Nothobranchius furzeri: one gene and its partner. The protein of the gene in region 2 purifies or fractionates together with the protein of the main gene of each other region. This does not show direct contact. Links are inferred from orthologs where the notes say so. Each region holds a gene or a part of one and is shown on either strand. Other genes may lie near its edges.

Region 1 (8,515 bases), about 20 Mb from region 2:
CTTTTCTGTGTTTTAAAAAGAACTGAAAGATGGAGGTTCAGTCTGAGATAGACATATATATATATATATATATATACATATTGTATATATATATATACATATTGTATATATATATTGTATATATATATACAATATGTATATATATATATATATATATATATATATATATATATATATATATATATATATATATATATATTGTATATATATATTGTATATATATGTACATACATTTTATATTTTAGCATATTGGCTCAAAAACATGATTAAAAAACATGAAAAAGTTGCTAAATATTTATAATGATTCCAGATAAATGAGCTGTTGTAACTTTTGCTTTGTTTCAGAAAAGTCAGTGAGAAACAGACTACAGATGTTCAAATTTAACTCTGTAAATTTGTTTAATCTAAACAAATGCTGGATCTCTGAGTGTTAATAAAATAAAAACTCCTTTTGTGCCTTTTAAACAAAAACTAATTCCAAGAAGAACCCGTCTGGATCCTCGTTTCGGCTCCAGTTTATTTATTTCTTCATTCTCCAAGAGGGAGGAAACAAGGGATGGAAGCCTGGATGGATAAATGAGAAGAATCCTGATTAGATAAATCCCCGAGTGACAGGGAGCAGAAGAGAAGGTCTAAATGAAAGAGAAGGGATCACCAGGAGGGAATGTGTGGAGCGCCAGAGCTGTAGAGGGAGACGCAGAGGGGAGGAGGAGGAGGTGGAAGGATCAATATCTAATTTCAGTGCTGAGCTCAGGTTGGACGCTTTTCCAATAAGGCCAGAATGGAAGAGCAAAGTTTGAATAGGTGTGTGTCTCTGGCCGTCCTCACATCCATCTGCTGCAGGTCTGAAGCCTCTCCAGGACTCAGGCTGGTTCTGAAAGCTAGGACCGCTCCAGCTGATTTAGTCTGGACCACAGAGGGTTTAACTCACCAATCAGATTCAGGAGAAAAACACTCAAACCTGCAGGTTTGTTTTATCATGGAGCTGCAGCAAAGGGAGGTCCTCGCTAAGGATGTCCAGGATCATCCAGGAGCTTCTGACCAACAGGATTCCTCTGGAGCATTCAGGTGTGTGTCAACACGAGGAGGAAAAACACTAGCTTCCACTCCGATCCCAAATCAAGTCCAAGTTTTCCTAACAGATCAGTAGATCTCATGTTTTTATGTTTACCCTACAGGATGAGTGGTGGAAAGAGTTAACCAAGGCCGGTTCACACGGCAGGATAACTATGACCATTTTTTACCTGACCCCCCCACCCCCTCACACACACACACACACACACACACACACACACACACACACACACACACACACACACACACACACACACCTCCAGTTACAGTTACAGCTGCAGTTACATTTCAAATGTTCCCAGGCCAGCTGGCTCAAGAATACCAATGGGCTCAAGCTCAAGTCACGTGACAGAAGGACAAGTCATGTGACTTGACCCCAAACAACTGTCAATGAGAGTCCACTTGGAAAGGTCAAAGGTCATTTCCTAACTGTCTGGACTCCAACATAACATTTGGGTCAGTCGGAGAGGATGTCCCAGCAGGTCCGGCTCCGTCTCAGACTCTACAGTTTAAAGGTCAAAGGTCAGGGTTAGCAGGAGAAAAGCTCTTTGAAAGAAAGACTTCTGTTCACCCATAGCAGCGGATCCCAGCTGTCAGCACAGTGGTGGAGGTTTGATGGTTTGGGTCGGTTCTGACCCAGCAGCACACTAATGGCTTCTGGAGTCAAATATGAGCCTTTCTGAGTAACGCTTGGACAGAACCGAGCCTCAGAGCAGAACCAGAACCTCCTGTTGTTCTAAACCCGTGAAACCCCCCCCCCCCCCCCCACACACACACACACAAACTGTCTCCACTTGCCCTCTGAGGCTGAAGCTGCTTAAATCAATCCTGCGTTAATAAAATGGACGGATGGTATTTAAACCACACAACCCCCACCCTATGGGTCTTACACAGTCCAGAGAACTCCTTCTCCTTCGTAAGCAGCTCCTGTTCCATCGGCCCGCTGCCCTGAACGTTTCGCCCTTAAGTTATAAAATAATGAGCAGTAAGATAAATAACAGTTTTTTTTCTTTCCAGAGGCATCTCCGAGTTTATTCCCTCTAATTCCTGGCTCCTTCACCGGTCTTTAAGACCTTCAGATTCCCAAAGACGCTACAGAGGACACGGCCTGAGCATGTTCAGGAGCGACGGTGCCTCCTTACGGGTCTGAAGCAGAACTGAAACATGTCCTGTGAGTTTTAGCTCCATTATCAGCTCTTTATTATATCCGCTTAAACAAGAAATGCTGCTCGAAACATGAAGAAAAGCCCAAACCATAACACGTCCCCCACCGTGCCTCGCAGCAGTTTCAATTCAGCTGAGTTTGAGCTGGAAGAACAGGCTAGAAGAAGAGGTTTCACATTGAAGGGACAGTCCAGCCCCTCTGTGTTTCTGTGTAAATTACATAAGTGCTGCAGAAAACTTCCTGAGGTCAGGACTGACGTGCTAACAGCTAGTCTGAGTGTGTTTCTGTCATCCTAACTCAGCTCTGATCCTCTTCCTTTCACAGAGTGACCTTTACACTGACGTTACTTTGACAATATTGATTATTTACCTGGAATTCTGTTGTTTACATGCATACAATAAACATCACCAACAGGAGCCTGATGGAGCTGGGGGTGCGAGCGAGTCCTTCAACCACGGAAAGGTCTCTGGGACAAGAACAGCTTTTATTGACATTTGTGAGTAAATCCACTGATGACTCTGATTACATAGAAATATGAAACGACCCTGAAGGAAGCGTTTTTGGGCTCATGAACCGGAAGGATCAGCTACTAGAGTGTTTCCTGCTGAATCGAGCCTCCAGAGTTGTGGAAACACCAGGAGAACGATTCAACCTCACGGATCGATAATCAGCCTGATCTGAAGAGTTGTCTCCAGCTGAGGAACATGGGCTGAAACAGGCATTAGATGTTTGTTCTCAGCTATAAATCACCTTAGTTCATGCATGGTTTCTTGTCTGCCTGAAGAACGCTGCTGATGCGTTTGATCCTCTCACTGAACTTCTTGGTCTCTCCTTCAGAGCAGGAAGAAGCTGATATCTAGCACCGAACCGTCAAGCTGAGCCGAATTCACTGTGAAGGATTATTTATAACTTTATTGTTTGTATTTTTGCACTGGAGCTCCTCTCACTAGTGGCGGCAGGACTTCATGCTACCTTCTGCTGCTTGATGCTGGGATGCTCAGGATTCTGGGACTGAGGGTCTGGATGTGATTAATGTCTGATGTTCGGAGTTTGATTCTCTCAGACAAAAACAAGACACGCAGGAACTAGGCGATTATTCTGGTGCAGAAACCTTTGTGGAAAGAAGATGTGGTGATAAATCAGCAGGATGAATACTTACACAAAAAACATGACAGAAAAAATCAGGAAACAAGATGAAAGTTCATAGCTCCACACTGCCCTCAAGTGGTTATTCGGTAGATCTGCACCTGTGAGCAGCGCTGTTCCTCAGTCGGAAGAGATCAGTGACGCTGCTCCAACAAGTCCAATTAACTAAAAACTGCTGCATTGTTGTTTTAACCCATTTTAATTGTATATTACATTTAAGCCACATGGTTACCATGGTTACACGGGTGGTGTTAATGAACCAGATGTTCAGAGCTCTGATTAAAATAATAAAACACAGGCTAAAAGGATGACCTAAAAATCTCTGAATACCTTAAAGAAAAGAATGAAATGGACGTAAAAACCAGCAGAGACATCACAGCCGTCGGCTGTCAAAAGCGTGTCTGAGGAATCAGCCAGGTCTAAATCCTAAAAGGGTCCAGAATCCAGTAGATGGAGGCCAGAATGAAATGACTTGACCGTTAGGCTTCCCAGCCACTGGAAAAGCTCAAAACTCACGTGAGGGTCTGGGAACACACTGGGATGGTCCAGGAGGGCCTGTTACCTCAAAGGAAGGATGGATGGATGGATGGATGGATGGATGGTGGATACGTTTGTCTTAATTAATGTGGGAACGTTCAATCTTCTAATCTGCCAAGCAGCTCAGAGAAAGAGTGAATATTGCCGGGACACCGCTGGTTGCTACCCACACGTCTTTCTCTGTTGTTCATTCCATGGAGGAAAATTCACGAGTTCTACCTGTGGAGGTAACTAACCATAGATATCATAATTATTAATATATGATATCTAACTAATCATATTTATTAGTCACAAGCATCGTTACAGCTGAGAAATAATCAACCAATAATAATAATAAACACCCAAACACGCATTCTGCTCTGTTTCTACTGGAATAATAATGTTAATTGTTTCCGGCAGGGGGCGCTGCTGCCACGTCTTCATGTTAAAACCAAATAAGGAAATGACGTCCTGCTCGAGTTCCTCAAATAGAAAAGTGAGTAAAAGCTGCCGACGAGGTCAGGATAAGTCCTGCAGACACACACCAGGTAGGTTAAATGGTTTATCATCACTTTAATGAAGTTGGGAGTCGGAGTCTTTGTTTACCCGCGGAGAGGGAAGCTAACGGGGGTTAACAGCTAATAGGTCTAAAACTCTGTAACGAACCAGAAGTACCTGCTATGCTCCTTTAGCTAGCAGTAGTTAGACTTTATTTGTTTGGTTCATAAGTTAGTATTTTATATTAGAAATGCGTTATCTTTATAAATATAGTTGTGTTTTGTTGTTAAACTGAGTTTAAAACAGCAAGCTGGGTCCGACATGCTGAGCTCGTGTTCTTCTCTAAAGCACTAAAGTGTTATTATTAGCTTTAATCTGACTACATCAACGAGTCATTTAAAACCGGCTCGAACAGGTGGTTCGGTTGGTGCTGCAGCTGAATCCTCTGACCTGGTCCCAGAATGAATTTATATATATATATATATATATATATATATATATATATATATATATATATATATATATATATATATATACATATATATATATATGTGTATATATATACATATATATATATATGTGTATATATATATATGTGTGTGTGTGTGTGTGTGTGTACGCGTTTTAGCAGCACATTGATTGTGAAAGACAACTGAACACTAAATGTGTGCAATATAAATAATAAATATAAATAAGTCAATAAATCTCTTGATATTTATTGAACTTTAAATATAAAACAAACTCAAAGCTGTTAAAAAAACGTGTGTTGAGGTCCTCCGGGTCTTTTCTTCAGTCTAGTAGTGGTGGCAGTTGCCCACACACGTGCCTGATTAAAAAAAAAAAAAAAATTATCGGCTTTTTAAAATAATTTCAGTCGATGGCCGATAGACAAAATTTAGTATATTGGTCAGCCAGTGATGGTGATTCCTCTTGGCTTTGAACTGGATAATCCCTCTTTTCCATCTGACCTCTCCCTCATCTGAGTGGATTTCATAAACTCATAACTGTTACGTATGGCAGCTAATATTTCTTTTTGTGGACAGGGACAGGATGGGGGACATCGTGGAGGATGAGACCAGCTTTTACTCCAATGCTGAGGACTACTGGAAGGAGGTTCCTCCCACAGTGGACGGGATGCTGGGAGGTTACGGCAGCATTTCCAACATAGACATCAACGGGTCCAAGGCTTTCCTGAAGAAGTTCATCAGAGTAAGGCACTCAGCCTGAGTTCGGACAAGTAGTAGTAATGAAATAAAAAAATCACGTCCTGACTAGAGAATGCATGAGATAAGGATACATCACTAATTTAGCTTGATATGATTTTTCTCAGGACAAGAAATAATTACTGGTAATATTGTATGTGGTGTAAGTGTAATAAATACATTAAACAGCAGAGTCCCGGGAGATAACCGCGGCAAGCCCACAGGCCCGCCTGCAGCCTCCCTCCCCCAAGCTGGCCGAGCCCAGGACCCAGTGCCCCTGGACCCAGTGCAGGTGTCTTCTGGTCTACACCAGCTGATGCCACCACACAGTCCCACTCCACCCCCACACCCCTCTGTGTCTAAGTGCAGTTTAAAATTGGAAGTGGGCACCGGCACTCGGGGTGAGGCTGAAGGATCCCCCTGCCGAATGCCATTGAGTGTGCTCACTCCCAAGGCCCTAAGTGTGTGTTTGCGTCGGTGGAAGTGTTTAATGTGCAAATAAACTTGGGGGGCAGGTTGCCACAGAACTGTGGAAATGGGATCCATACCCGCACCCCCTAATTTCCCCACCCCTCAAGGTCCCATGTGCATGTTTGTGTGGTGATGTGAGGGAGCAGTAGGAGGAAAATGTTTGGGGATGGGGATGAATGGCTGGGGGGCCGTAAGCCCTCCAAGGAGCCAGCTCCCCCACCGACCCCAATAGGCACCTCCGTTCCCAAAATGCCACCCGGGGCATTGGGAGACCCCAGCCCATCTCGCCAGGGCCCCACGGAGCCCGAGGTCACTGACCCAGCCCCACCCCAGCAGAATATCTACTCCCATCCCTGAATTTGCACAACTTCCAGAATATTTAAGACATGAGACATCCAAGTAAGGCTGGGTCCTCCCCCTCATGAACACGGAGCAGTCCCGGTAGGTGCTGGTTCTGCTGCGTGTGTTCACTTTCACTGTTGCTTTGGTCCACTCATTTGTTTATTCTGTCAGCAGTGTTGGAGACGTCTTCACGGTGGGTTAATCGCAGCGTCTCACACCGTGGTTAATAGTCAAACGGTTAATCCTTGCAGTCCTAACCGCAACCGCTTTAAAAAACTCGAGAATTTTGCCCACCGTCGTCAAATTACAATAGTGGGCGCTGCAGTATTGGCTCTCAGGAGACACGCCCCGCCCACACTGATGGTAACAGTCGTTACGTCCCTCCTGCCTTTGTTTTGAAAGGAGAAACTATGGCAACCCAGCAGCTGGATATGAAACATGTTTCAGTAGAACCTTCCCTTCACTATATTCTTACATACTGCACCTTTAACATGTAAACATGGTGTTTCTGACACGATCAAATAAACAAGTTAAGCCACATAAATGTGTTTATTTACACAGGAAATGATAAAAGGGGCTTTAGATTTGGGTTTTACGCTTAATAACATTTATTTAGTTTTCAAACGCCGTCAGTTCAGCGTCGTTTCACATCATTCTGGAGTTAACATCCAGAAACAAAAACCCAACTCTACCAGTGACAGTAAGCCCCGCCCCCTGGTTCTAGCTGTGCTCTTGGACCCTGAGGTTCTGTAGTTGTGTTTTCCTACAGGAATAACGGTCTTCAGCACCGAGTCCGTAAATAAACGAACCAGTCGGTTGTTTTGGGATGCTGGACGTTGCTGGAGTTTTTCCCTGATTTGTGTCTCAGCCTTGTTCCCTGCTGGACTCTGTTCTGTCTTCCAAAGGAAGGCGAAGGGAAGACCGGGTCGGGCTGTGCTCTGGACTGCGGCGCCGGTATTGGTCGGATCACCAAACGGCTGCTGCTGCCTTTGTTCCAAACCGTGGACCTGGTGGACGTGACCAAGGAGTTCCTGGACAAGGCCAGGTCGTACCTGGGAGAGGACGGGAAGAGAGTGGAGAACTACTTCTGCTGTGGACTGCAGGACTTCGTCCCAGAGACGGGGCGGTATGATGTCATCTGGATCCAGTGGGTCATAGGTGAGTGTATCTAAGATCAGCATGTTCAGCGAGGTGTGCAGTTACGTCCAAATCTGACGTGTAAAAGCAGTCGCCTGGAAAAGGTGATGGTGGGATTGTGTCAGGTGGATGGAGGAAGTCGCGGTGTTCCTTTTAGTGTTTTCCTTCTGCAAAGTTGATGTTTTATCTCCACTATTAACATGAGCCTGGAGGAGTTCTGCTGTGTGGTGGAGTTGCTGATGCTAACAGTTAGCTCCTGCTAGCTGAGATGTCCTCTGCTGTTTCACTCTAAAATACTTATCTAGTTATTTTAGTTTATACTAGGGTTGGGACAAATCATTTGACCTTCGGCGATGGGCTGAGCCGTTACGTTTTTTTTTTACAGGAGGTGATTTGTTTGTTTGTTTGTTTGTTTGCCCGTGAGTTAGTTTGTTAATGACAAATATTTTACATTTTACACACAGAAAACATATCAGAGGTAACAATCAAGAAAGGATTTCCATCAGTGCATCTGAGCACTTTCTCACCTCCTCCGCCTCTCACTGCTGACAGTGGGCGTGCAAGCGGCGCGCTGAGGAGGAGCGTCTGACGCCCTCGACGTCGTGCACAACAGCGCGGTGTTGAGTGGAAATCCTATCTTTCAGACTCTGGAGGACTTCTGGTTATTTCCTTTGGAGAAATGTTTCCTGATTTAAATCTTTGGCTGAAGTAGCGCTCGTGGTTATCTGGCTCCTGATTCGTTCATTCAATTCAGTTTATTTATAAAGCACCAAATCAGGACGAGTCGTCTCAAGGACCTTCACGCAGTAAACAACACAGGTCAGGTCATTAAGCCAATCAGTAACAAGTTTCCTATATAAGGAACCCAGCAGGTTGCATTGAGTCACTGACTAGTGTCAGAGTGTTTACAGCAATCATACTAAGCATGCAGCGACAGTGGAGAGGAAAACTCCCTTTTAACAGG
Region 2 (8,343 bases):
CCTCATCCAATGTGCCACGAATCGACAAAACCCCTCTGCTGGTCACTAAGAGCAACCCAACACTTTATAACCAGGTTTTTCCTGCTTGTCTTAATATCATCTGAACAGTTTTCATTTAATTTACTGTTATTTTATTTATACAAGCTTGAAATCTGCCTCATTTGCATTCTCTTAAAATATTTCCTATTGCTCCTCCCCACCAAGCTGCTTAGAATACTAATAAAATCTACTTGGTACAGTTGTATCATTTACGTTTTAGTAATACAGATAATGAACACCATATTGGACTTAATGGCAAATATCGATATCAGTTCTGCCTGATTTGAATGCTATTTGGTTTAAATAAATGAGTAATGCTGAGACTCTGACAAATGCAATGTAATGTTACATTTTTGTCTTTTTAAGCCTAGTTTATGCGTCGGTGCGGAGACGTGGTGCAACCCCATTATCTGTCGTTGCAAGGGCTCTCCAACAGGCTCACAATGACGGGCAGACTCGAGCCATCTTTTCTAAACGTCCGTCGAACGAAACTGAGAATGCAAGCTTGTGATTGGTCAGGACGCTGCTTCTATTAAATTTGTCAACAGCACTAAAGAGAGCCAACAATATCTAGTAGCAAATGGAGCAGCTTGAAGAATACCTCGTGGAAAAACTCTAAAAACATGAAGGTTTTATACGTCTGTCACAGGAGGAGTATTAACATAAGCAGCAAGCGCTTATATTTGTGGATGGACACACGAGTTTACAGGTGGCAGGGACATGAAGAGGTGGAGGAGAATGAAGGACAAATTTGTCTGTGTTAAAGTCTCTGAAATACAAAAAACAACAGTAAATGCACTATCGGATACATGCCAGGATGCCTCAGAAAAGCGCTACGCCCTCTGTTGTCCTGGCAGGGAACTGCTTTGCTACACTCCCCAAGAGAAGGAGAAGTCCGAAGGCAAAACATCTCCGTCAATGTGTGCGTCTCTTCCACATGGAGCTGAAGCATAAACTAGGCTGAAGAATTGATGTCTGCTAAAACTGTTCTGCAGCCCACGTCTCCTGTTCGCAAGTCTTCTTAAAGGCAAAGCAAATTACAAATTATAATGTTGTAAGGTCTACAGTACTCACTACTTTAATTCCTTGATGAGATTTTTGTGAATTTTCAAGCAGAAATCCTCCACTGAAGTCCGTCCATTCGGGAGTACAACAGGAGACGTGTAATCAGGCAGCTGGCCTTTGGGTTTGGTGTAGCTGCAATAAACACAACACCTCAGGTGTTACAGTATGAGTAATCATGTTTTTTAATCTGTATATGCCTTTTAGCCCTTTAATCTCACATGCGCACAAGCTGTAGATAGTCCCACATCCGCTCCAGCAGGTCATCAAAGTTCCAGCGGTGGTGGGCTGAGATGGGCACAGTGTGGGGAACTTTGTAGATGATGTCAAGCTCCTCGATGGAGATCTGGTCGATTTTATTGAGCACATAGATGCACGGGATGTAAACTCTGTTGGGAGTTGACAAAGTCAGTGATCATCAATTTTGCCTGTTTTACCCATTTCACTATAGGTGATAATTACATCAACTTCATTAAAGGGATCCTAGGCATTCTAGAAGTCACTAAAGACATTTTCAATTCACCTGAGGTGCTTTTTTCTTGCAAAAGCATCTAGTCTCTCACTGGTATGAATTGAGTTTGGATGGCAAACAATTAAAATTTCAAAAATAAAGAGAAGCAGCATAAATGTTTTAATTCCCTGCGGACACGTTAAGATCAGTCCATGAACGGCATCTTTAAAATAAAATGATGCACTTTCAGGTTTTGTGGTTATATCTAGTAAAAAGTTCTCATTCAACATTTCATTGCTGTGTTTTACATTAACTTGCATAATTTTTCAATGAGCAAGACTGTTTAAAACACCAAACGCTGTATTGAATGCATCTGCAGTGGTGCAGAAGGAACCCATGTGCAATTTCAGACTCCAACAGGCCACACCCGCAGGGAACGACAGCTTACCGGTTTCCCTCCACCACATCAATCAGGTCATCAGCTGTGACATCACTGCGCAGGGTGATGTCGGCGTTGTGGATCTTGTACTCGGCCAAGATGGTCTTAACTGTATCACCATCCAGCTCACTTTGAGCACACTAATAGGACACGGAGAGATGATGAAAGGGAAAATGTGAAGCAGAGAAAAAGGCATGACGAAAATGCTAAAGGTGAATAAATCTAGCAAATGTACACACTGGCCCAAAAGCAGCATGAAGAAACAGCATCATGCAATCAAACCACATTTCTTATTAACTGTACAATAGCTGTAGAGCTGTTATCTCCCTATAAACCACTGACAAAGCTGCACTTTACTAGACATGTAAGGTTACATGCCCCAGTTACCTGTCAACAGTCTGATGAATAATTTCTTCTGTTCTGTTACATTAATCTAGACGAACCACATTTTTGTTTTGATCATTCAAAATTATTATTATAAATTAAAACATGTAAGAAAGTATTTATTCGTTTCTGTTGCGGATTACGATGAAAATGAGCCCTTCATCCCTGCGCCGTTGTGCCAAGCATCACGTACTGTAGCGGTGAAGTTAATGCCTCCTTTGTCCTTCTTTTTGAACCCGATGTTGGGAGGCTGTTTGTTAAGTCGGATGCCAAAGCCCTCCAGCTCATGTTCTATTAGCTTCTTATGAAGAAGAGGCTTTAACACATCCAGCACTATCAGGATTAGATTGCAGGTTCGAGCCACTGAGAATAAAACAGAAAGAGGAAAGATAACATTCTGTTTTATTAGATACAGTTGGAATGATGCAAGAGAATAAAGCTTGCCATGTCTGCACAATTGTTTGCTATTTTAGGAGCTAGATAGTTGCAGAAACCCTGCTAAGGCCTCTAAGAACATGAAACAGTTATAAATAAAACATTTACAATAAGTCATCGTGTTTTAGGTTATAAACACACAAGTTAGGTCTAGTTGACAGCAATTCATAAAAAAAACCTTTTATTCAAAGTTAATTTCTGATTTCAGTTAAATTCCAAAATTATAACATCAGTGGCTTTCTTTTTGCTTTAGCAGAAATCTAATAAAACTCTACCTGCAATGACCTGCCTGCCTCTACCCTTGCCGTCCTTGGCTCCTTCGATGATTCCTGGAAGATCCAGGAGCTATAAAGAAAAAATAAATCTCAACCCAATGAAACACCACTTTAATATCTCAGGACTGGAAGACATTTTCCTGTACCTGAATTTTGGCACCTTTATACCGAATGACCCCAGGAACTGTTGTAAGCGTTGTGAACTCGTATGCTGCAACCTCAGAGTACACACCTGCTAGGTTACTCAGCAGGGTGGACTTTCCTACTGAAGGAAAGCCAACAAAACCAACTCGAGCATCGCCGGTTTTTGCCACATCAAAACCTGTATGTGAGAGAATAAAAACCTGAATTTCTGTAATTATGGATAAAAACAGACATAAATTTAAATGCCTCATGGGAGAGAAACCTCAGAAACAATTCCTGAATTGGAGCTATTTGTGAATTAAATACACAATATAGTAAGACTACCTTCTCCAGGTCCACCACCACTCCCGCCTTTTGGTGTGATGAGCTCCCTCCTCAGCTTAGCTAGACGTGCTTTGAGCAGACCCAAGTGGTGAGCTGTGGCCTTGTTCTTCTGTGTCCTGGCCATCTACAGTAACACCAGAGTGCATGATGAAATAAGAAGTAAAACATTTAGCTGGACCGTTTTATTGCTTTCAAAGTAGAACTTTAACAGAAGCTAATTACTTGAAATGTCTAAATTTTGATTCATGGCTTGCTCAAAATTAAAAGGAAACTTTAAGAAGACTGGATGGGTGCCTAATATGAGCTCAGTATAATTATAGGAGGTCATACATATCTGTGTTCTATCTGACTTTACACACAGCATACAGATATTGCAGAAAAAATATTAGTTTTGATGGAAAGATGGATATCTATTTCATTACACCAACTTATTTAGATTATTCGAAAAAGTTTATTTAATAATACAGTAGTAGCATTGTTCAAAACATTTAAACCACGCATAACTTCTTCAGGTTTGCTTCCTAGGAAGCTGATTTTCTTGTAATAATCTTTATTTACTGATATTTGTTTTTCTATTGCCGAAATGTAGGAGACAAGTTCAGCCAATGTCCAATATGTATTGCCAATATTTATGGCCCGATTTCAAATAGCCAATATCTAGACATTTTCCACCTGATTTTCATGCTTAACTGTCACTAATAACGGTTGATGCACAAAATTTCTGAAGCAGTTTTTGATCTCTAAATTTAACGAATAATGGGCCATTCCCATCTGTACCGGGTTGGCCCGGGCCGGGTAGCCCCAGTCGGCCCCAGCCTGGCCTGGTTGATTCCACACATTCTTGTCTTAAGCCCATGTGGGCTGATTCTACCCACCAATCAGAGGCTTGCTCTAATGGAAGGTGTGAATTTGCTGTCAGCAGTGGGTGTGTTGGCCCTGGTCGGCCTGAAGCAGACCCCCTTGAGAAGAGGGCTGAGAATGAGCCTTGTTTGGCCCAGAAAAATACCAGACCACCCAGATATGTAAACAACCTACGCTACCCGGCCCGGGCCGACCCGGTACAGATGGGAATGGCCCATAACTGTTAACTTTGTGCACTGTGAGGCAACTATATAAAGTTAGAGTATTTATTATGCAGATTTTATTAGTGAATGCAAAAATACATTTAGATTAAATTCTATAACAGCACCGGGCTGCCTGAGGATGTGCCTGACTTTAAATTGGCTTTCTGAAAGACAAATAACACTGATGTATAAAAAACCGTTAATATCGGCCTATATATATTGGTCTACCCCTAATTCTAACTCTGCTTTTATATTTTGTAGCACTCTAAAGAACTGGAGACAATTTGTACTTTTATAACAGATTACCAACAAACAACCATTTATTACACGTATCTGAATTATATTTGATGCCTGTACGCTCAGAGTGGCTTAAAAACAAAAATTTGGTCCGGTGCCGTTTTCGCGTCAGTGCATTTCGATATTGTCAACTCAGCGCATCTGTCAGTTAATAACGATAATATTAAAGCAATTAACAGATTAAATTAATCAGTTATTCAAATCTAAGCTAGAACCGGTTTAGCATATGCGTTGCCAACATCTGTGAACTGACATTAATCTCTTTATTCATCTATAAGTGACAACTAAACTGAACACTGAAATACATTTTCTTTTTTTAACAGCTTAAACTGTCAGGGATGCGGGGCCAGTCAAATATAGGTTAAAATGGATCTTCTTTTATGAGATAGCGTTAGCGACTAGCAGTAGCTATGTGAACTAAACGTGACAGACTCGAAGGGTTTAAAGCGTCAACTTTCGCCTTACCTCATTTTCTATCTCTGCTATTTTGGCAAGCACACTCATGGTTACGTTGATTCTAAAGACCACTTCACCTTAACTATGTATACCGGAGAGGTTTACCGACAAATATGACAAAGTTTAGGTGGTTAGGTTTAGTTAGCGTGTACAGTAACACACACCACACAAACGCGGCTACGCCAATTCACGGAAAGTCTCGCGAGATCGAAGACCTTCCCTACGTAGCCTCGCCGTAAACGTCATTTGGAATCGTATGACGTCCCGCTTTTCTCGCCTCTGATTAGCTGGATGGGCTCTGTTGCGATTGGCTATTTAATGTAAGAGGAACCGTCTTTCCTCGCTACAGGGTTACAGCCTAGGTCTTGAGGAGTTTTAAAAAAGAAAATATGAATTTAGCGCTACAATAACCATTCTGTCCTATTTTGCAACATACCAGCTTCATTTTCTTTTATAAAATTACATAAAAAACGTCAAATGTGAGCTTATAATAAATATTGTTGTTTACAAGTTAGAACACATCTCTCATCATCTGATTAAATGTATATCGAAATTGAATTCAAAGCTGATTATGATTTAGACTTTTTTTCAGCAGTTTTCATTACTCTAGAAGAGAAACAGACCTGCAACCTGGGTGAAAAAGGGCAGTTTTATTATATTTCACACCAAGGTAAGGCATACATGTTTATCCTATTTACTCTGCTTTAATAAGATTGCATCAATGCTTGAGAGCCAAGAGATATAAAGTATGTCCAACAGTGTGATAAATAATTTCACAGTTGTGTTTCAGTTTTGTAAGTAAAAGAAACAAAAAGCACGCAGTATTTTGCAAAACAGGACAGAATGATTATGATAGCGATAAGTTCACATTTTCTTTGCAAACTCCCCAAAACAGCTGCTCTGTTGGTGGCAGGAGCAGGGCCAGATTAACACTTTGTTGTACCCTGGGCAACAATATTCAAGGGCCCCATCATCATGACCCAAGGATCACCATAATATGGTCACATACAGAATATTTTACTGTAATATGCAGTAAATATACTCAATACTTGAATGCCTGACATCATGTAACCTGCTCAGGGTAACCTTTGACCCACCTTGTGTGGACTGACCAATGAGGAGAGGGTCTTAACTTGAGGCCCTCTCTTCACTGGTCAGTCTGGCATGAGACTGACTCTCAACTGACGTTCAAAGTCATAGAGCTAGCTCTCAGTAGAGCCTCGGTCTGGCTTGGAAACTGTTCCAGGATTTTGAGTCTCTGTGTTTGTACATTCTTTTTTGGATATTTTTTGTGCAATTGTTGGACAAAAAGACTTGCTGTGGTATTAATTGCACTAATAGAGCGTCCAAGGAGTCTCCACTTCATTTTTTTCGGTAAGTAAAATTATATTTATGTATTTTAGGTCACTGCCGAGCTGAGCTTAGATTTTAACATGTAGTGATTAACCATGAAATTTAAATGTAATAGGGTAAAACCCAGTGCATTTAACATAATGCTGCACTTTAGAAAATGGGTTGAAATATAACATGTTGGTGGAGCTGGGTTCCGACAATCGGCTTGTGGAGCTCTCGGGAGACCGATGTTTTCCACCCGGTTCTTCCCTCCCCGCAGCTCGGCGCATCTCTGTCTGATCGCGGCTTCTGTCTGCTGCGCGGGCTGCCAGCTTGTGGAGCTCTGGGATGGAAACCTTTCCTCCCGGTTCTCCCCAGCGGCAGCCCTGCGCATCTCAGATCGCAGCGGCGCTTGTCTGCTGTGCGGCTGCTGGCTTGTGGAGCTCTCGGGAGACCTCTGTGTTCCACCCGGTTTTACCCAGCGGTCAGCCCGGCGTATCTCTGACTCAGAAGCTCTGTTGTTGTGCACAGTTAACTCCGGTTGTAACTAGGTTGTTACCTCCGTTAGCTTAGCTCCCACCTCCGCGTTAGCTTTGGGTTAGCTTCAGGTTAGCTTGTAGCTAGTTCGACCGGGTGTCGTCAGTTGATCCCAGCCTTACAGCCCCACCCTCAGCTCCACCTCTCTTTCCTTTTGTGGAATTGTCTGGGCTTGAAGGAACCTTGACACGGTCAAAATGGCGGTGGTGGCTACCTCCCATTTTAGCTCAAAAACTTATTATTGGAGTCTATGGAAACCCATTGTCCAATATTTATATGTCGATGTCAATGACTGTCATCAATGTATCAAATATTCAAAGAAATTCATAAACGGTATTCATGGTATTATATTCTTAACCAATTCTGACAATTGAACAGACAGTTGTGCATGCGAGTACTTATACAATGTAATCATGCTGACATGTTTTGGAGAGAATGATCATTAGACTGAGAATCAACTAATCGGTTTAGATCTACAAGATCTATTTATTTGGAAAATGCTAAATGTGGGCTAACTGTATAACTGTAGGCTACATGTACTTAATCGTTTGCAAAGATGCACTGAGACAATTGAGACATGTACTAAGGCATTTGCCATTTGATAAAATGAATGAGAAATGCCATCAGAAATGCCACCTCCAAGAGGTTTGGAGGTTTGTCCATATTATTTTGAGAATGTAATTTCTGTTTCAAGAAATGAGCCAAACCAATGGAGAAAAACTGTAATATAGCGTGACAAGAGTCGTCTGAAGGTACTTCGCAAAGTAAACATTCTAATACAGTTCTAGGGTCTCATTTATAAAACATTGCGTAGAATCCTTACTAAAACCGTACTTAAGCTCAGCAAAAAAAATGTACTTACGCCAAGTAGGTTTGTGACGTATAAAACATGCAGCTGACGGCAATCTCTGCTTTATAAATCAGACTTACGAGAGAGGTTCTCAGCTGCTTTTTAGTCACATCCCGCCCTCAACACACCCACTTTCTGCCATAAATGGCCAGTGCAAAATGCCTTGTGAATCTCATGCATATACATAAGCCGGCTTGCTGCAGCATTTTGTGTCCGTGCGCGGGTGTGTGTGCGCGTGTGGGGGGACTCGTTCT

What was found.
Region 1: the proteins of drg1 (region 2) and ntmt1 purify together in Homo sapiens (affinity purification with mass spectrometry; 3 studies listed by BioGRID and IntAct, counting the BioPlex papers as one, with this or other methods). This does not show direct contact. The link is inferred for Nothobranchius furzeri from reciprocal best matches to the Homo sapiens genes DRG1 and NTMT1.

What each region holds. Positions count from the first base shown.
Region 1 is NC_091746.1:70,919,461-70,927,975, reverse strand, and holds the start of ntmt1 (N-terminal Xaa-Pro-Lys N-methyltransferase 1), read left to right. Parts: upstream 1-4,344; 5' UTR 4,345-4,449; intron 4,450-5,442; 5' UTR 5,443-5,449; coding exon 5,450-5,608; intron 5,609-7,319; coding exon 7,320-7,572; intron 7,573-8,515. UniProt on the Homo sapiens protein: Distributive alpha-N-methyltransferase that methylates the N-terminus of target proteins containing the N-terminal motif [Ala/Gly/Pro/Ser]-Pro-Lys when the initiator Met is cleaved.
Region 2 is NC_091746.1:51,121,278-51,129,620, reverse strand, and holds the start of drg1 (developmentally-regulated GTP-binding protein 1), read right to left. Parts: upstream 5,570-8,343; 5' UTR 5,419-5,569; coding exon 5,380-5,418; intron 3,678-5,379; coding exon 3,554-3,677; intron 3,408-3,553; coding exon 3,232-3,407; intron 3,156-3,231; coding exon 3,086-3,155; intron 2,739-3,085; coding exon 2,569-2,738; intron 2,132-2,568; coding exon 2,001-2,131; intron 1,491-2,000; coding exon 1,323-1,490; intron 1,237-1,322; coding exon 1,114-1,236; intron 1-1,113. UniProt on the Homo sapiens protein: Catalyzes the conversion of GTP to GDP through hydrolysis of the gamma-phosphate bond in GTP. Appears to have an intrinsic GTPase activity that is stimulated by ZC3H15/DFRP1 binding likely by increasing the affinity for the potassium ions.